3 linked regions of the Lepisosteus oculatus genome follow. The protein of the gene in region 2 purifies or fractionates together with the protein of the main gene of each other region. This does not show direct contact. Links are inferred from orthologs where the notes say so. Each region holds a gene or a part of one and is shown on either strand. Other genes may lie near its edges.

What was found. The genes of interacting proteins can lie anywhere in the genome.
Region 1: the proteins of yaf2 (region 2) and e2f6 purify together in Homo sapiens (affinity purification with mass spectrometry; 4 studies listed by BioGRID and IntAct, counting the BioPlex papers as one, with this or other methods). This does not show direct contact. The link is inferred for Lepisosteus oculatus from reciprocal best matches to the Homo sapiens genes YAF2 and E2F6.
Region 3: the proteins of yaf2 (region 2) and mgaa purify together in Homo sapiens (affinity purification with mass spectrometry; 5 studies listed by BioGRID and IntAct, counting the BioPlex papers as one, with this or other methods). This does not show direct contact. The link is inferred for Lepisosteus oculatus from reciprocal best matches to the Homo sapiens genes YAF2 and MGA.

What each region holds. Positions count from the first base shown.
Region 1 is NC_090697.1:12,186,212-12,193,249, reverse strand, and holds the start of e2f6 (transcription factor E2F6), read left to right. Parts: upstream 1-4,018; 5' UTR 4,019-4,106; exon of another isoform or gene 4,107-4,139; 5' UTR 4,140-4,730; coding exon 4,731-5,048; intron 5,049-7,038. UniProt on the Homo sapiens protein: Inhibitor of E2F-dependent transcription. Binds DNA cooperatively with DP proteins through the E2 recognition site, 5'-TTTC[CG]CGC-3'. Has a preference for the 5'-TTTCCCGC-3' E2F recognition site.
Region 2 is NC_090702.1:30,288,391-30,295,350, reverse strand, and holds the start of yaf2 (YY1-associated factor 2), read right to left. Parts: upstream 3,006-6,960; 5' UTR 2,884-3,005; coding exon 2,858-2,883; intron 2,566-2,857; coding exon 2,440-2,565; intron 1-2,439. UniProt on the Homo sapiens protein: Binds to MYC and inhibits MYC-mediated transactivation. Also binds to MYCN and enhances MYCN-dependent transcriptional activation. Increases calpain 2-mediated proteolysis of YY1 in vitro.
Region 3 is NC_090703.1:12,652,396-12,659,644, reverse strand, and holds the start of mgaa (MAX dimerization protein MGA a), read right to left. Parts: upstream 3,021-7,249; 5' UTR 2,966-3,020; coding exon 2,851-2,965; intron 466-2,850; exon of another isoform or gene 311-465; intron 282-310; exon of another isoform or gene 217-281; intron 1-216. UniProt on the Homo sapiens protein: Functions as a dual-specificity transcription factor, regulating the expression of both MAX-network and T-box family target genes. Functions as a repressor or an activator.

The DNA of each region.
Region 1 (7,038 bases), on a different chromosome or scaffold from region 2:
ACCCTTAAAACAAACAGCCAAAGACAAGCCAGCACTGTGGAAGGAAACTGGTTTGGTCCGGGAGCCACAAAGATCACAGGAGAAGATATGACAGAGATAAGGTTAAAACCCCAGATCTCCACTACTACATTACCAAACCCTGGACATGCCGTTTCAACATAAACTCTTCTATAGCCACCAACAAAACTTGTGCAGTGTATTTGTGCTGCTATTATGCAGAATGCTAGAACCAACATTACCAAACATTGTCAAAAAAAATTTCATAAGCACTGCATTTACCACCAAAAACATGGCTCTTCAGAGTTAATTCTCAAGACTAGGTTTGAAGACACCCTGATTACATCAAACCAGCCTCAAGGCACACGTGTATATACTTAAAAATGTGAAATGTATTCGACAGATAATTCAGTTCCTTTATAATCAAAAACATACTGTGTTAATGTTAGCAATACTGAGTGTGACCCGAGTTCCCAAATTTGGAAATACAGTAGCATCAAGTGACTGAAGTGGCTGCAAAAAACAAAAACAAATCAAAAGGCCAAGATATGCAGACTCTTGAGGATGTGTTATAAGTTAATAGGGCAGCCACTTGAGCAGAGCTTTCAAACTGCTTACAATGAGACTCTTTTGAGACAAGCTGTTAGTATGTCCTTTGAGTCCCTCACATTAGGGATAAGTATGAAGAAAGTCAACTGATACCTTCAAACAGATGTTTCAGAGTCCCTCAATGCAGACTTAACAAAACGAAGGCTTCATTACCCCACAGTCAATCAAGTTACTCCAAGTATTTGATATGAGCAGGTCGCTCAGTGTTTAAGTGCAAAATGAAAGGGTGTTGTGCAAATATACAGGCTGAGGTTGAGTATGTTGGAAGTCAACTCACAGACTGCGGTGTAGCTGTGTGGATTCCTGTGGGAGTGTTCTGTCATTAACGTAACGTTATATTTAGTTTGAATGCATCCTCTCAACAATAAAGCTGTTTGGATGCAAAACAAATTTCTGAGAAAGCAAACAAGAAATCTTATTGTATTGTAACATTGCTAGCATCAATTTCCGAGTGTTTTTTTATGGATTAATACTTACTGAAAAAGCACCTGCACATCACTGTATACGACATCTGAAAACTGGAAAAAATAGAACTGCTCCTTGCCATCGCTTTTCTCTACCTTCCCTAAACACAGCGCTGAGATCAACAGGTTCATGCTGTGTAACGCAGTTGCTGGGTGTAAAACACGTTGTTCTCTGGTCCTAATTATTTCCTGAATTAGTGGAGGTACGTTTAAATGCCACTTTGAAGCCGGGCCGATGTTCAACAAGACTAAGCTCCAGGAAAGAAAATAAAGCCTACGGATTATCCATCTATCCAAGTTTGAACCGTTCTCCCAGTTCAGGGGCATGGGGGAGCCACGGCCTATCCCAGCAAGCAGAGCCAGGCTGGTGTACAACCTGGACACCTGTCCATCACAGACACGCACACTCACACCAGTGCACCCAGAGGAAACCCACACAAACCTGGGGAGAACATGCAAACTCCACACAGACAGCACCCCCAGTGCAGAATTGAACCCAGGACCCCAGTGTTGCGCATCACTATGCCAGTCCATATCGATTACCTGAGAAAGTAATATTCATTTGAATTAGTTTCCCCGAAGACTGATTTAATATTAGTAATAGTAGTAACGAACTGTAAATACCGTACTGACTTGTCATGACAGGCCAGATGTCACACTTCCGTGAGAAGAAAAGCCTTACTCCTTTCACTGCACGTATTTGAAGTTGCGTGGGGGGCCCACGGGAGACACCAAGCGCGTTTGTGTTTTGAATACAGGGCTAACTGGAAGCCAACAGACGTGTTCTCTGTATTCGGCTGTTGTTAACTGTATTGTTGACTGCACTAACAATTGTCGCCGAGATGTTAATAACGTTCACGCCAAGCGTTCGTCTGTTTTCCAAGGCATCGATCTGGAGCTGTGATATGATCCGTGCACAGCAGTGACCAAGGGTGTCGGTTTGTTGGTACCCTTAAACCATTGTTTACCCAGTGCAATGTTGCAAGGGCACTGAAGTTACAATGCAATTTTTTTTTCTAAAAAAGGAGCTCACATAAGTCATGGTTCTGCTCTTCTTTTACAAAACGTGACTGCACAAACCACTTAACACCCCCGGACACATCGTTGATTTCAAACCGAAGGCAAACGCACAGCTGCCACCGATCTTATCTAATCCAAGCTCAAACTGTCATGAAGCGAGATAGCCGTCAGAAAATGTAAATGATAAAACTTAAAAGGCTTCCATGATCCATCCCGTATGAAAATGGGTAGACAAAAGGAACGGGTCTTTTATATTTCGGTCATTTTAATCGATTAGACACACACGCCACAATTCTTATAGAACTTGATTGTAACTTGTTCTAACATTAATTTCAGTTCCCGTAAATAAATCAACCGAACGTCAAAACAGATTAGATATTGTTGTCAATCTTCCAAAATTAATGCAGAAGGCAACTATAAAGGTGGGACTGAGGATTGCCTAAGGACATTATGAGTAGGGGGGACAAGAAAGATTTAGCGAGACGAATGAAAAAGTAGAAAGCCAAATTTGCCGTTCCGTTGACACCCGGACGTTTTCTTGACCACAAGCTTTTTTGACCGTGCAGTGTTATCAAATAAATACGTTCACGCCTCAAAAAAAGCCCCTCGTTCAACTTCATGCACGGATTCAAATCAAACTGGGCAAGACAGGGCGACATCCGTACCCTACTAGCCAAACACCCAAATCTGAAGAAGTCGACAAATGAACCAAACACACACGCCACACACTCCAAGAGATTGTTGTGAACACGAAGACATTTCAGAATCGTTTTAATTCGGGCTCTGCACCAACGCCTGAAGTTACCGGACAACTTTCGCCCTGCAAATATTTTTGGCGACACGGCCGGTGTCACGCCGAGATCTGCGAGGAATCGTGACAGAGGCTTCGGCTGGGGTCGCTTTTACAGATTAAAGACATGAAGACGTGCCTCAGTTCCCGATGCGAGGATGCGAGAATGACCCACATCGAGGACAGAGACGCGGATCCAGGCAGCGAGGAAGAAGACTGCCCTGCAAGCAGCCAACTCCCTCTCCCCCAGTGTACAGAAAATCCTGAAAATATCCGTACAGCAACTTCCAGTCCCTTTTTTAGTGGCGATTTCAACGCATCGCCAACAAATCTGCTTCGCTGTTCTAGTATTTTTACCCAATAGCCTCGCAAAGAAAAAAAAAACCACACCGAGTTACAAAAAACAACAACCTTTCCTCGAACTGCAAATGACAATTCGGCAGATCCCCGAGATCATTTCCAAGAATGAATGAAAATTTAACACTCAACGTCCACGACTGGCAAAAGACCAGATTTACTGGAAACCGCTACGCTCGGGTGCAAATAAAACCAACACAGTGCAAACAACGTTTTTTTTTTGGAGGGGCAGAAAAAAGATCAACAAAATCTCCAACATCATCCACATCGCGTCGTGCCCGAGAGAAGCAAAGAAGAGAGACTTGGTCATCGCGGGTGACCGGGCTGTGCAACACGACCTGCGGACGCTCACATAACGCTCTGTACAAGAAGCTCGGCTTTAAAAAAAAAAAAACACAATCGGTGCGTGTAAAAATGTTCATGCATTACCTGGTCTATAGGGAGACTGATGATATCGCTAATTGGCTGCAGCAGGGTCGAGCCAGTGCAAGAGGATATGGTTGCTGTAGCCATGATTAGGAAGGTTTTTTGTACAAGATCCCCCTCTCTCTCTCCCCCAGTGGATCCCCAGATTCGCCTGCTACTAGCTGACAGCCAGCCGGGCTATAAGCTCCGCCGACAGCCAACAGCCGCTCACAACAAACAAACCCTTTTCTGTCTGCGGGCCAATCGTTCAGGGGAAACTGGCGGCTCTCAAATCCAATCAGAGGAGGAGGAGGTCGCGGCGGGCTCTGCGCTGATGTACAGGCCCGGCAGCTAATCAGAGGGCCCCAGCCGGAGCGATCCCGGTTTTTACAGCCCGCACGCCGGGGAAGGGAGAAGATCGCCGGGCCGCGGATTATACTCGCCCTGCAGAAACGTCCGGAGAGGTACCAACAAGACAAACGCGGACAAAAGACAAGTGTGTTCGTGCAGTCTGACGACTTAAACCGCACAATAAGTATAAAAACAAACCAGTCGGTCCAGTAGTTGTTTTTGTTTTGGGGAGGATAAAAACAATTGCATTTTTCAAATACTGCCCGGAGGGAGTGAGTGAGTCGTGGTGGTGGGGAACAAATAAGGACAGATGCATCGGTGGTGCTGAAGGAAAACAAAAACGATGGCAAAGGTATCGCGTTTGTTTTCAACCGCGCACAGCTGAGGTGCCAGACGCCCCCCGGCTCCTGTGCTTGGCTGTTTTGATTAAGCCCTAACAGCGCCGCGGAAACGGCGAAGTGACCCTACTCCGCCAGCCGGCCAGCCAGCGAGTAGGTGGGGGGGCAGTAAGGCTGCCAGCCCCCCCTCACCCCGCTGTGAGTTTGCCCTTCCGCGCCGCCAGACTGAGCCCCGGCTGAGACACGTGTTTTGCTGCGGTTCCGGTGTGCAGCCTCTGCTTACTTCAGCGGCCATTGGGAGTGGAGCTGGGGAGGCGGCTGTTTCGTTTCGTTTCGTTGTGCTGTGTGTTCGTGTGTGCCTGGCTCCCCGTGAGCGTCCGAGCCGGGCGCCCGGCCGCGATGGTGCAGTGCGTGGTCCAGGGGTGCCCCAACAAAACCTACCCCAAGGCGGGGTTCGCCAACCGGCCGCGCAAGCGCTTCTTCAGCTTCCCGAGAGACCAGGCCCGGGTGAAAGTGTGGCTCGCCGCCCTGAGGGAGACGGAGCGGGTGCTGTCCGACCACCACCGCATCTGCGAGGACCACTTCCTCAAGCACCACATCACCCCGTTAGGGGTCACGAAGGACGCCATCCCCATCATGCCGCCCTACCTGGACGGGCCGCTGGCCTCGAGTGCGGGGACGGAGCTCGGCGAGTTTGCTGGCGACGCGGAGATCGAGGTAGGCGCACTTACATTAAAAGCCCCGTTTGTCGGCGCAAGGTTTTGGAGACATGATCAACCCGAGGGATATTTATTAGATTTTTACACTGTATTTAAAATATTGTCATGTTTACACTTGACACTTATTATAATAATAATAATAATAATAAGCTTTATTATATAGCGCCTTTAAAGGTGGCTTCTCAAAGCGCTTTACAGGATGAGTTTTAGTTTTAACTAGTTTTAATATACACTATTAACATAGCGCTATAATGTTTTTATGATTTGTGTAAAATGTAAAATGTACCAGCTCTTGTAACATGCTCTGTATGTGACATTGGAAAATGTATTTTTCTTTAATACATTGTTTGGAGTGCCTTACTTCTGACTACCTAGACCCGCGGTGCTGAGCCCGCTGTCAGGCCGGAGTTTGTTTTTATTGGTCGGCTGCACAGATGCTGCCACAAAGTGAGATGGATCCGAATACCGGAAATACAAGCGCAGTGAAAACAGACGCTTTTCTACAGCGCAATTCACAAATTGCTCCAAGCGTAAAAGCCCTGGTTCACAAATATTACACGTTTTGGGTAGGCGCTTCTTTTAGGTAAGATGCGCTGTTTTTTTTTTTACAAGGCAGCGAGCAACACCCTTGGTCCGTTACAGAAGCTCAACAGGCCCTTTAGTACCTGATTTCTTGTGTTTTGCCTCGCAGTTCTTGTTCATTGCAGAGATTCTGATTTGTGGACTTGGAAACTCTCCTGCCTCATGTTTTTTTGGCTTTAGTTATGCTGTTTGGACCCTTTTAAAACGGATTGCAGTCATGTTTTTAGCCCCTTGGAATTTGGATGGGGCTAAAAATGCAAAAGCCTTCTAATTAGTTTTTCAGTGAAGCGCAGGAGCTTATCTGAAACTTCAGCTGCTTGTAAGGGGTGTGTCTGTAGTATAATTCTCACCCATGTGCTGTATGTCTGCTTTCATTTCATTGCCAACAACGACTGCTGCACGTTGTGCATTTGATAAATACACTTTGGTTTGATTTGGCAATATTAAGCTGCACTGTTTGTAAGCAAACCGAGGAGTCCACAAAGGTTAATGTTTGGTTTACGGCAACAGTACACCAATATAATGATATTCCTGAAACCGAGCACAGAGAGCGGTAAAATATTATTGGTCTTCAGGAGCACAGGAGAGATTTACTTATAGTTTCATTCAATAATGAAAACTCTCTTGAATATGTATGCTGTTTGTCAGTTCATATGCTTCACTTATTACTTATTATTTTCTCAAATGAGGATATTGTAATCTGTAAACCTCATGACCACATACTTTAGATGCAGAGCACGCAGTTAATTTCACTTTCATTTCAGTTAATTCAATAGGTGGTTATTTTAATTGGACAGTAGGAAATCTCATTGCAGTTCAGCTTATTTGTGATATGCCCAACTGCCATGCTTATTTGCATGTATGCTCCAATACAGAGAAATTAAGGGAACACCAAACTACAGCAGCAACAACAAAGTTAACACACAACGTAAATAAAAGTCAGCACAAGAAGTGTGCAGAGTAGAGGTGGAATTTAATAACTTGACAGCTTGCAGGAAGAAGCTATCTCTGAATCTGGAAGTTCGTGCCTTTATGCTCATATTGCTTACCATAAGATAACGTCACTTTATTAACCCTTTACAATTTCTTGCATTAGGAATTTGTCTTTTTGCATACCCCAGCTTGCTCTCCATGAGACACACAGACAGGGAGAGAAGCTTGTGGTCAGAGCGCAGGGTCAGCCATTGTACAGCACCCCTGGAGCAGTTGGGATTAAGGGCCTTGCTCAGGGGCCCAACGGAGTAGGATTCCTCTGCCGGCTGCAGGATACAAACCGGCAACCTTCCAGCCACAGGCGCAGATCCTCAGCCACAGAGCTACCGCTCCGCCCCCAAGGGCAGGGGAGAGGAAAGTGAGAAACCAGGATGACTGGGGTCCTTAGCGACACGTCCAGCCTTCCTGAGACA
Region 2 (6,960 bases):
AGTTAAGTCGGGGAACAGCAATGTCATTTTGGCAGCAGACACAAATGTCATATTTTCTGGGACGTTTACATGCCAGGCAAGGCTACTCTTGAGTGTTTAAACAGAATCGCAAGGAATCCATTTCGCCAATTAACATTTAAAGCCAAATACCCATAAATACTGAGCACAGAGCACTTACGACCCAATAAAAATAACTATTTGGTGCATGCGGTTGTTGACTGGGTGAAATGGCTTACAGAACCCATTTTCTTTAGGCCTATTATGCCTACATATAGAATCATTATAAGTACATGGCGGTTAATTCAAATTATCTTGAATTTATGCTGATGACCTGTGGAAAAAAATGTATATACCCAGTAGAGGAGAACCTGAAGATACACCAGTTCCAGCTCCCCTCTCCATTTCTTTTGATAAACTTTTTGATAAAATAAGTAAAAGAAGATAGAATCAAACTGCATGTGTCCAGATATGGTGTGGATATGGAATCACAGATGATAAAATAGGATATTTATTATTTCTGAAGTGCGAAACATCACATTTGTTACTAAGTTAGCTGCCAATGTTTAAAATAGATTTTTATTATAGACATTTACATACACTAGGTAAAGTTAGCTTACAGTATTTATCAATGAAGAACAGAGACCCCATATTTCATTGTTAGATATACATAAGATTGCCACCCTCTAATTATTTGAAACAGACTGCCTGAGCCCTTTGCTGACGTTTTCACATGTTTAAAGTTTTTCCTTGGATATGTGCCTGAAACCATCAGTGCAAGTGCCTCTGCTTGTGGTACACACAGAAGTATCTGTCCCGGCTTAGGTGGCTGCACCAAAAACACTGAATCTTGACATTGGCAGCATTTTGGAGCATACAATTAATACAAAAAGTGACTGGTATTTAATATCCTCAATTATTTTTTCTTAATGAAATAATTCATTTTATCACACAAAAGGCTTGCTCATTCTGTTCCAACTTCCAAACCAGTTTAAAAATGTTAGTAAACTGAATCAACTTTGCTAATGGTGTTAGGATGTGAAAACTTCAATTTTGTATTTACTACACATCTAATCAACACATTGGCCAATTCAAATACCAGATGTAGTATAATGTAAGCGATTCATGGTGGAATTTGTTCTGTAGATCTGCACCAACACTAAATCAGAAAGTGATTTCACCAGGGTTTTTCTAAAGCAAATGAAGATCTGGTGAACTCCATATACTTTAAACCACAAATACTTCTTAAAATAGAACTTATGCCATCATATAATTGTGGTCAGTTCACACTGGCTGAATATCAGGGATTGCATTCAATAGCAAGGGTCAATAATTCAGGGCACCTTTCCCCTGTGAAGAATGTCATAACCAAAGCATAAGTACATAAATCATCCAAACTGATGAACCTTGTTGTTCACAAGGCAAGCCTTGACTTCTGCTCTGCACAGCAGGAAGGACAAGTGAAGACTCAATCAACACTCCCCTCCATGCTAATACAGAAGCTGAGACCCTGTCTATGCCATTTAATTGAAAATTATAAACCGAGATCCCACAGAAACCACACTGCATTTATTATTAACTCATTCTATGTATTCTGGCTGCGATAGAAACACAAAAACCACAGTACAGTATCTGTTCTTTATATTACTGTAGCTGGCTTTATTGTACGTCATTAAAATGATTATGAGTGAATCGCCTACATCATTATTCAAAAGAAAAAAACATTTAAAATGAACATCAATTTTTCCTGTGTTACTGGGGTGTTCAAAGACATGTAGGAAGCAGACTTTCAACGCTTAAGACGAAATAAATGTTCTCCCGTGTCTTAATGGCAATGCACCAGACGGAAATATTCACTTGATAATACTGAACACAGCGCTTACGTATTTCATGATACAACAAATGATTCATACGATGTGCTAGTCTAGCGACTCAGGATAAGTATAATCGTAGGAGTTGGGAGAAACATTTTGGCAGGATGCTGTGGGAAAGCCCAAGACAAGCGGTCAGGCTCATGTAAAGCAGCCGGTCGCACGGTATGCCCACTGAAAATAGCAAATCAACTTCGCATAATAAGCACCGGTTAAAAATGATAAAAGTTGCAGATACAAGTTAATTTTAAACAATTTATATCGCCTACTTAGTTTCACCGCTCCAAGTATGTATTTTACAAACAAGCAGGATCCGTTGTGAAATAACAATGACGATAAGGAGATTCACTTATGCAAAAGAAAATTGTCATTCATCAATATCTAATTAACCCCGTTATGGTAAACATTAGCTACCTTTTCAACATTCAATCATTTTCGCTGAGCATTCCGGCCAGTCTCAGGTATTATTGTTTTTTTTATGTTCTAAAGCATCAAATGTAAAATACCTGCCCTTGCACATAGCATCCTGAACGGTGACCATTAATAATAGCGATTAAATAAATCTACTTACCGTGTTGATGTTCCCTTCCTGACATCACACATCATGCACTTGAAAGCCTCGGCGCTGTTCCTGAATGTGCAAACGCTACAGTCCCAGTATCCTTCGTCAGAAGAAGGCTTGGGTTGCCGCTTTGGCCTTCGAACAAAATAGCAGACGGTCAACACTGGTTTAATGCAGCGCTTACAGCCCCTTACATTCAGCTTTGAACACTTGTTTATAAACAAAAAAAGTACGGACCCCTTTTGACTTCAAGAGTCAAATTTACGAGGTATATGTTTTGACACTGTAATAGAACAGCCCGTCCGCCATGGTTGCTACACTACAGCGGCCACCTCATTCACACACACAGCGTTGTAATGCTTTAATTATTCAGAGCCGCCGCATTTTAGAGCAACCCTCTTTCTTATGCATTGGTGAACTGCTTTACCTTGTCGGGCTCTTCTTGTCTCCCATGTTGCTGAAACCTGATTTGTTTATACTGAAATACGAACAGAAAAATTTGATACAAAAAATGACTAAGGCGCCCGGATCACAGCTCCCAGCTGTCGTGGAAACTCCAGTAGGAGGATCACGTGGTGGGGGGCTAACCAATCAGCCGGCAGACAATTTCCTGAAAGAGAAACATTAAGCTGAAGGCGGCAGGTTTGCATATGATGGAGGTTACGGATGTTGTTTTGTTTTTTTTCTTTCTTCTCGCTTGAGTCATCTGAGGTCTAGCGTGATCCAAGTCGTATGAGGATCTTTGTGTTTCAAACTGATGTTTCATAAATATTAATCCAAACGGGAAAATCAATTTCTTCTCGTCTCAAAGGCAGTTGGGGCGTGCGGTGTTTATGTCGGATCAGCTGATTCAACTGGGGGAACTGTGCTACAGATTAAAGTTCGAAGAAATGCTTTTCGGTTCCAGAAAATATCTGAGACTCTGAGAGATGGAGCTAAGCTGTAAAAATATTTTTACATCGTAATAAAAACTTAATCTGTCTATTATTTTAAAAATATATTGGTCTCGGTGACAGTTTTCCCTTCTGTTTCTTGAGGATCATTGTCCACTGCATCATCCTGAGATATTTTGGGACATTTCTGTTGATTGGGATCCCCGAAGGAATTATACTATATGGCTATGTTAATGATTGAAGAGATCTTTTACATCGATGTTAAACTTCAGGGACTCCCAGTATTTTGGGAAAAAAATGATTGTTCTCTTAAAATGAGGGGGACTTCATCTTCTTAAAGTCGGTCTAGCTTTCTTTGAAACCTGCAGAAAATGAATGGATGGATGCCCTTTAATCTACCCAACATAGTAGTGGATTCTATTAATATGCTATTACAAAACGAGCTTTGGGAAACATAAATGTCATACAGTACTAAATGAGGGACACAGGACCGCAAATGGGTGGAAGTGTCCATAAATTTGGGAATTTTGCAGAAGCAAAAGGTAGCATCGTTTAAATAATAAGCATTCACTCAAGCAGTGTGTTCTAGGTGGCAGGACAGCCTGCACATAGCAGTCAAATATGTCAGGATAAGGAAACAGTACAGGACTCAGGATTCCCTTCCCCTAGCAATACCAAAGCTCTCCAAGAAGGACAGTTATACAGGTGCAGATAATGGAACCAGGCAATCTACACACAAAGAATACAACATTAGTTTACAGTTACAAGTAGTTACCTAAATAAAGTAATGAAACCAGGTAACAAAGCACAGCCATAAACAAGAGAACATTATAAATAGATGCAGTCCATGGGATTACCAGCTTCTCATAGGAGGTGAGTCACCGGCTGCCACAGTGAGGTGTAAGGTTCCCTAAAATGGTATCCTGTTACTGTACATGGTTACTGAAAACATAGTGACAAACCATACTATCCTCAAACATTTCCATCAGCTAGATACCATCAGCACCAATGATCAACTTCGAGTCTGATCTTGTTAGGTCTCAGAAGCTAAGGTCTGGTCAATACTGGGAGGAGAGGCCTCCTCTCCTTCTCTAATTAGTATTGTTGCACAAGCAGGGGACATTGTTCCCTCTGAACCTGATTCAAAGTCTTAGTAGGATGACCAGGAATGCTTTTAAGTGATAGATGAAGTATATCGTCTCCTATTTGTAAAGCAACTAACTTCTAATAAAAAAATCTCTTTTTCCCCAAGCTTTGGTGTTGTGTTTGGATATGTCACACGTTTATTTTGAACATTTGTTTCAAAGCATGTACTGTATCCTTCCAATGGATTCAAATGCGACTCCTGAACAGGATTCCATATGCTGATAGAGAGAGGTTGTGATAAAGAAATGCATCAACTTTACACTCAATTCTTCTGCCGTGGACTTCTCAGCATGGCGCACTGCTGATCTGCTTCCTTCCTTTGCTTCTTGGCAGTGGATGTTTTCAGAAGCTATTATTTGTAGAATAGTTGGCATCACAAGTAGACGCTTTTGAGAAATATATGAAGGGATCAACAAGCACAATTTTGTATGCTTCAAGAAAGAAATTGAAATAACAGTAAAATGCGCGAGCTGAAGATAGTGGTCAGGATGCACATGAACAGTTATTCTGATGCTTCTGATCTACATTTCTGCAGGCACTTCTGCTACCATGTTGGGGCCTCTTGAAACAGGATGGAGTACTGTCTCATTTACCTTCTATCTCTGCCACTTGAAAATTGCAGGTTTGATCTCTGTCTGTCTCTGATAATGGCACTTGTCTGCTACCTGCTTTAGAATCTTTTTTGAGTTCTAATGGACATATGTATTTCTTTGTGGAATTGAAATTTTCTGCAGGCTATAACCCTGCCACAAATCATCCAGATGGTTGTGTCAGATTGCAGGTCATCTTTCTGGGCACATTGTTTGACTATTCTGTGAATGACTGGATCAGCTCTTAAGAACAGGCAGCTGTGGCAATACCTGGGTTTTGGCCAAAGGTTTAGACTTTCTTACATACAGTATATAAAGTATGTTTAATCTTAAAGGGACAATTTATATTATCTGTATTTTCTTAACATTTTTGTTGTTGGATAAACTATAGCTGTTTTGTGTTATGTGTAAATTGTAAATTTTCATATCACTATTTTGTTTTCTGAACAAATGTAGAAGCCTACAATCTATACTCAACATCAAAATAATAACAAGTGTGCTGAGGATGTACTGTACTTTAATGAATATACATGACATTGGTTCTTTATGCTGATTAACATTTGCCATGAATAGGTCTGATAAAGAGGCGGTCTATTGTGAAAGTTACATACTAGTGGTTTGTGTGGTCAACCCTGAAAGTAATTCAATCTGTAAAGCGTGGTTTGCTACAGGTTGCAGATTCTGTCCTAATCCTCTTGTAGTGCCTGGACAGGGGGACCCATGGCATAATACAGCCTTTAGTTTAGATTTTTGCTTTTTTTTTGGTAAATCAAGCCATAGTGAATTTCTGTGTTTCACTTTACTGATTTTCACCTGGCATTGCGTTTAACAACAGGTAAAATCACCTCACTCTCTCACTAATAAAGTGATTTAGAACTTATGTAATGGTCAGGTACTTGAGTGTGTCACATTCTAGTTATGAATGAGCAATTAATTAAAATGATGATTAAATATTTAATTAATACATTAAAAAGAGCAATACATTAAGTGGATGCTCAGTATTCAATTCAATAAGTTGTTTTCATTTTCATTCTATTTTAAGACCTAACCAGAAACTAGAAATATGAAAAGAGTAAGAATATATGTACAGGTACATCCATCCATTTCCTAATCCCTTCATCCAATTTTGGGTCACAGAGAAGCCAGAGCCTATACTCATAGGATAGGTAGGATATTCGCCAGTACATCCCAGGGCACAGAGACACACACAGTCATACCAGGATCAGTTTTTCCCAGAAGCTAATTAACGTACTAGTATGTTTTTGGAATGTTGGAGGAAATTGGAGCACCTGGAGGAAATCCACATGTACATACGAAGAACACTCAATGTACTCAATGTAGATAGCACCTCAGGTCCAGAACTGAACCCAGGGCCCCCAGCGATGCTGACCTCTGTGCCACTGAGCTGCTCAATATTTACATATGAAATGTATGGAGGATTCAAGAACTTAAATGAGATCACAGATGATATATAAAGTGTTATGAAACAGTTCTTTTCTGCACAGTGCCAAAAATATTAAACAACAGTGCATGAAGTCTGTAGGACTACTTTCTAGGAATGTGAGAGTAATGATTACTTCTTGCTTATGGGAACATCTATTCCAACAAATTTCTTAGAAAAAAGCCCTGTGAAGATTGCCTTCTGCATAGATAAAAACAGGTATTCTGGGTGTAGCAGAGCAGCACTACACTTGTTTTCACACCAATTTTCTCTAGGGAGAAGATGTAGTGATGGAGTGGAAAACTGCAAAGATAGGATGAACAGATGGCAGTACAGTTGAATAAAAAGTGCCTGTTCCATTTAAAAAAAATATTTATTGAAAGTAATGTAAATGACTTAGCTTAATTACTTACATAGAATACTTAGACTGCTTATTTAGAATATGTGATTTTGACATTAG
Region 3 (7,249 bases), on a different chromosome or scaffold from region 2:
AGCTAACAAGCGAGCGCTCCCATGCCTGTCGAAGGACATGGTGAAGCGGGCCTCTGGCCGCCTCGACGATGCCAACCCCAAGCGCGTGGGCCTGGCGCGGTCTCCTTGGCACCACCATGACTGGCGGTCCCAGCGCGTGCAAAACCCGGCCACAGCCTCAATGGCGCGTGAATCCCTCCCCCCCTTCCAGCCAACGCGTTGGGAGCGCGAGCCCACCCTCGGGGATCTTCTCAACACCCAACTCGTGGCAACAGGCGCCGTCTCTTTCTCCGTGCAAACGCGCTCCACCGCGGCTCCGCTGAGCTGTTACCTTTCCCAGTCGTGCAAACATCACCCCGAAATCCGACCGTCGTTTGACTTGCTCATTGGCTCTTTCCGTTCTTTTTTTTCCCCCTTCTTACTCCGTACGTCTCACCCAGCTGGAGAAAACATGAGTGCTCTCAGTCACCTACGTCAGAGTCCTTGTGGTGGCACGCTCACGTTCTCGCCTAACGCGCAGGCTCTGCCCAGTACGGGACAGCAGGAGCCAGTCACGTGGGAATACAAAGCCTCTTTGCGCACGCACCGAGCTCGGCTAAAGCTTTTATTTTTTAAAATCGGGATCTGTGCGAGCACCGGCAGCAACGAAGGAAAAGCCCGCCTTTAAAAAACGCGAATGCACTTTAATCGAATGGGATTTAACGTCTTTATTGGTCGGCGTTCAAAAGAAATACTTTCACGTGGTGCCTGCCGTGTGAAACAAAATAGCAGCTAGTGAGAACCGATACAGCGGGGCACCGAGGCAGACAGAGCAGATGCAGAAAACGAAAACCAAGCACAGGTCAAACACTCGTTCATCCTAGAGAGAAGCCCACCAGCCGCGTAGTGGAGGTGCGAGCACGCATTTCAACAAAAACAGCGTTAACAAGCAAACACCCCTTTTCATACCGACACTTAAAAACGAAAGAGATCAAGAAAGATACATTCTAGCCAGCACATACGTGAGAAGAGATACTGTATAAGTAATATTGCCACTAGAAGCTCTTGGTCGCTATCTAGTGACACCAATCAACTAATTAGTTGTGGGTTTTTTTTAAATACAACATTTCGGGATAACTATTGCACAGTAATCTTACATTTGAAAAATCCCTAAAACTACCGGCTCCTGCGCAAGAGCTACTACACTATGTTTTGCCAGATTACTATGACAGAACTAACTAGCAGAAGCAACGTCCACGAGTGACAGCATTTGAGTACACAATCGAACCGCAGCGCAGGCGAGAGAGCTGTTAGTCTAAAATCGCTTGGAAACAACAACATAAGGAGTGCTCGCCCTTTAAACTGTAATTGCGTGAACTTTCTGTTATGGTCACCTTTGAGCTACAATGTCTAAGCTTACAGAGCAGCATTCTATTATTCTAAGAGAATAAAAGATTTATTTTACAGGTTTGCTTTAGGCCGTGTAGTATTCATATACAAGACCAGCCACAGCAGAAATAAATCTTGAATTTACTAAATAACCCAGAAATATAGTAATTGTCATTTGCTTTCCATTTAAAACAGTATCGAATTTATATATTTCAGTATTCCTCTAAACTATTGTTTTACATATACTTTATTCGATTTATATGTATATTTAGAAAGACATCTCTACATACAGTACAATGTTGTTTGCAATTGTGTGTTCTGCCTTTCGTGAAATATCAGCTATCTTTTTTCCTTCATTTTCCTGCGAGAACTAGGAGATGAATGTGCGGTTCAATTACATTAAACGCATAACATACATCAGATATGGGGTTTTGCTCCTACAGCGAGAAAAAAGAGAGAAGGAAAGTTCCAATTTCACTGCCAATAAGCATTCACACCCATTTCCCACACCTTTTGAGCATGGCAGATAACCAGAAGATGCTTATTAAATCTGAGCTTTTTATCCGGCCAACACGAACGTCTTTCAGTCCGCGTCCACGGCTAGATAAACCTATTTCTTTCGAAGGCTGCAGCCCATCCGACATTGAAAACGAGATGGGTCCTATTGGCTACTGCCTGGTCACATGCACCCCGAGCCACAGGCGAATACCGGCAGAAATGGAAATTGAACTGCGACATTATTAAGAGGGAAACTTTGGACTACGAATTCCTAAACTGACCCGACGATAAACAAGACCCCTGACAACTGCGGTCACCACGGTTTTACGCTCCACAATTGCTAGATCGCCAAGGGACATTCATCCATTTTTTTTTTGGGGGGGGGGATTGGCTCGAAACCGCCTGCACACGCTCAAGCTTTTTTTTGTCGTTGTTTCAAAACGTGTCGCTTAAACGCGTGATGTGCAGTGCCCCCATTGTAAGAACAGCACGCCTAACACAGATAAGTGTGAATCCGCGGCCACACGGGTTTCGAGCGAGCCTCATGACGACAAGGAAGCACGGCCTTCCCTTGGCTGCCGGCAGTCACGTGTCCCTCCGCAACAGCAGCAGTCCCAGGTACATTTGAGGGAATGGCGGGCGGTGATAGGGCGAAATAGAAACACGGATACTCAAAGCCCCGTTTTTTTTTAAAAAAAAAAGCGCTGGAAAAAAAAAAGGTGTCGAAGGCAGAGGCTCTTTTCGGTTTCAATACAAATCTCGAAGTGCGCTAAAAGCAGCCTCCGTGCTCAGGCGCTAGGTTTGGCGACCCGGGTCGTGCACCGCTCTCTCGCCGGAGTCGTGTGCCAGTGTCGTCAGGTGACCACCGGCAGCACCCTCCCTCCCCCTCCCGCGGGCTGCGCGCTTTTAAGTTAAAGGCAGCCGGCCGGCTTAAATCGACGCCGGCGAAACGCGTGTCTCGAACCAGCCGGAGCACGCTGTTAGAAGCAGAAGCGAGCGCTTTACCTCGAAAAACAAGACTTTGGCAAGCGGGCCAGTCCTCCCATGCACGGCTCTGCGAAGGCGCGGACCGGGTGAGAAACTCGAGGGGAGTGCAGGGCTCCGGTACTGCAGCGAGCATGCGCTGCTGCTAAGCGCTATTGATCCTCGGAGGTGAGAGGAGGCTGGCGGGGGTGCCGCTTGGAGGCAAGAGGCGGATTCGTCTCGAGTCGCGTTCGTCATGACCCTAATCGATGACTATAACGCGGGATTTCAGTGTATTCAGAGAAGATGAGACCCCGCAACATGTAGTACTGGGCCCTAATTCTACAATTCTACAAGATTTTAAGGCGTTATATCATAAAAAAAACACACCGAAGAAAGGGATGTTTGCAGAATTACTGAAACTGAGCCGAATTCTGGCAACTCTCGCAGAGTTACTGAACCTGTAATAACAAAGCACTATTGCCCCGAGAAAACAAGAGGCGGAATTTCACCCCGGTCTCCGGTGGCCGCAGTTGACAAACCCACGACGAGAGCCCAGCGTGTTCCCGGGGTCTCCGAGAGAACACTTCAGTTGTTCTTTTGTTTATATACAATTACGAAAAGCACAACGTGTTCCAGCCGTTTTCACCGTTAAGTGTTGTTCCGTGCTTGTGAGTGTTGGGGGTACGCCTCTGTCCGGTCCTGCTTTTGGGGGACACAGGGGAGGTTGGGACCGAGCCGGCCGTTTGCTGGTCCTGCCTCACGCTAGAGCCGGGCTGGTTTTCCGAACAGAGCCTGAGCCATCCTGGGCTTTGCCGCCCACCCGCGAACCTGCAAGCGCTACACGATTAAACTGTACTCGTTTCAAACAAAATATTTTTTCCATTTTTTTTAGAATGTCTACGCCATTTAAAATTACATTAAAGTTACATTCTGTTCACTTTTTAACTTTTCACTATGCCGCTTTTGACTGCGCTGAGTAGTCAGGTTTAACATATTTTAAAAAAGGTTGGGGCTGGACTGACGGTGTCCCAGCTCCCGGGACCTGGGATTGGTTGTGGACGTCTGCGTGGAGTTTGTCTTCTCTCCCCGTGGCCGCGTATGTGTCCCCCCCCATTTTCCTCCTGCTGTTTAACGTTAATAAGCGTCACTAGTTTATCCCCCGTCAAGAGTGTTTGTTGTCCTGAAGGGCAGATCTAAGAGAATCGGTGAGAGGACCGATCACGGTTCAAAATGGTGTCTGGCCTTTTTAAGTACTTACGTTTTAAGTAAGTTGCTCGCAGTTAAATACACAGAAGCCAAATAAACTAAAGGTAATAATGCAAAGGAACAAGTAATAGGTTTATTCCATGCTGAAAAAAAAGAAGAAAGAGAACACAACGTTTCGGCCGTGGAGCCTTCTTCAGGTGTGAGAAGGCTCCACGGCCGAAACGTTGTGTTCTCTTCTTTTTTTTCAGCATGGAATAAACCTATTACTTGTTCCTTTGCAGTCTACGCATGCTGACGCAGCTACCCACCTAAAGGTAATAATGTATTCGCTTTCAATTTCAGGAACAAAAAGTATCTTTTAAACTAGGATCACACCTTCCACCAGTTCTCACCGAGATAGTGTTTTCTTTTTAAACCCCTCCAGTAATTTACCCAGTTCAGGTTTTCACACCTCGGTCTTCGTCTCTCAGACTTTAGTTTGTCCAGAAGGTCCCCCTCCTCGCGCATCATATTCCTACTCTCTTCATCTTCCCCACCTCGTGTTAGAAAAAGGCTCCACACACCACACTTTGAGTTTTTCTACTTTTTTTAATATTTCGGCGTGGAATTAACATTTACACGTTACTAAATCGGATTATAAACCTGCGGTCAAAAAATAGCTGTACATTTTGGAGAGAAGACCTGCTAGAAAAAGCGACCGCGGATGATGGCGAAAGAAAAGTTACGAAAACTAGTGCTGAGAAAAACCCTAAATTATGTCTTTGTCACCAAGGCGCACCTCAGATCCCTTCAAACGTACGAACATTTCTGGGACTATATTTACCGTACCTCTCAAACAACCTGCTAGTTTATTTGCCAAGGCATAGTTTCACTGTCGCAAAGCAGATGATATTTGTTAGGTTTCAGACAGCAATCACCCCTCCACAAATTTAATCTTTAAACGTAACGAGAGAAATCAATTGAAGAAAAAAACACGACCCGGAAACTCGGCGTCGCGGTGGCCCGGGTTCAAGACCTGGGGTGCTGTCTGTGTGGAGTTTGCATGTTCTCCCCGTGCTGGCCTGGGTTTCCGCCGGGTGCTCCAGTTCCCCCCTTACAGCCCAAAGACATAGTGGTAGGTTCTGGCGTAAACTGGCCCTGGTGTGAGTGTGTGCGTGTCTGAGTGTGTGTCCTGCGATGGCTTGGCGTCCACGCCGGGGTGTACGCTTTGCCTGTTGGTAGACTCCGGCTCCCCCTGGCAGCGATTTGACCGAAGCGGCTAGATAATAGACGGATAGACCCGGAAATTCTCAACTCTCCCCCGACCCCCCTTCCGCCCTCTCGCCGCGGACGGCTGAGCCGCTTTCATTGCTCATTAGAAGGTACTTACACAGTATGTGGACTGAGCTGAGGAGAGGATGTTTTTTTAATGTAGCCTATTCTTTCACAATATGAAATGGTAGTGGAGTGTGATCTACATTACAGGATCAGATTAAACGAACGTAAATGAATAATTTATCGCCCCTATGAATAGTCCAACGGCATTTTCTCATACTCTCAATCAGGAAAATGTATAATCAGGAAAAAAGAAGCGTCAGTGTCCTTAAATACCTACAAACGTTGCTAGGATGAATGCGTTGTTCCGTTTAATTTTATTTCCACGTCTGCGTACACGGTGCAGTTTAAACCAGGTATTATTATAATTCTTTTTGAGGCAGCTTGAAATGAGCTCGCAAAGAAAGCTGGGCTCTCCTCTATCAAAATGTGATTTTGTTTGTTATCCGCTCGTACTGCACGTAAGATAACGAGAAAACGTCTTTCGTGTCATGAAAGAAAGCAGTCGCTGACTTCGTGCACGTTCCCTTAGGTTTGAAGGCTTAGTGTGAGCTGATAAGGCGATGCCTTTCTTAGAACACCAGTGTGTACAGATCTGTAGAGAATATTAATAAACTTTACTCGGCGTCTGAAAAAAACCCTCAACTTGTACCCAATGCGTGCCTGAAGACTTATATTAAGCCAAATAAAGCATTCAGAACCGACTGTCGCCGTCGGTATAGAGCTTCGTTCAGCGTCACTGATAGAAAACGAAAGCTTCTTTTGGTCACGTGATAGGGAGAACGTGTTTGAGCTTTCAACACGCGCAGGGAGAAATCTAAGGCAGAGAGCATTTCGTTTCTCTCATGAAATGTGACTTATGAACAACACAACACAAGGCAAATTTGTCCCACGCGATATTGCAGCAGGAGATGGCTCCGATCAACCTTTAACAGAGCTTCGGAATGGAGCGATTGGCATAATTAAAAGCGTCGAAGAGCCCACCCCCAGGGGTTAATTCTATTATCATTGTGGAAAGGAGACCTGGCTGATTCAGAATGTATCTTGACCCGACAGCCTGAAATTGAAAGAAGGCCGTCTAAGATCATATATGGTCATATCGGATAAAAAATGAAACTGTTACTGTAGTGAGACAACCAAGCCGATCTTCAACACACTTAAAGCGTTAAATAGCACAGGTAGAACCTCCTGAAGCAGACCTGTCAACAGGAAGTTTGGGGAGAGCTCCATCCTCCACTGAGACTGAAACATGTTAGGTTAGAGTGGGGGTGTGTGTTGTGAAGGAGTTCTCCTCAATGCTTTTAATGAGATGTGATGTTGTGAATCGCAGTTTCTGCTTCATACTATCAATTCAGTCTTCAGTACTAAGGGACTGTGTATAAAATATATCCATAGCCTCGGTTAAGGCTGTGGGACAAATAGGCCATAAAAGCAGGGCGTCTCGATAATAAAGCACTTGGTATCTTGCACCAGCCTATCCAATGACGAGCCGTACACACCGAATAAGCCGACTGTCTATGTCGCTTTTTACAAGTACACATAGCTGAAATACTCATCTCTGTCTTTAATTTAATACACAATACATTACGTTGGAATTCAGCCTACGAGAAATTTCACAAAAAACAATTACCTCTTGAAAAGACGTTTCATAAATATTGTTTGTGATGATGCATTTCTACACGATGAACAACACTCACTGGGTTTATATTGTAAGGCCAGTGGAAAAGAAAACCATGGATTTGCGATGCCAGCGTTTCAAAACGTTCTGCTGGCAAAATGATTTGTCAGGTGGGTTTGTGAAAGTAATTGGGACCATATCTAGTACACTTAACGCTAGATTGGCTAAAATACTGTTTGCTTAGGATTATGCTTAACAATGTTATAGTTAATGCACAACATTGCCTTTTTAATATACTTT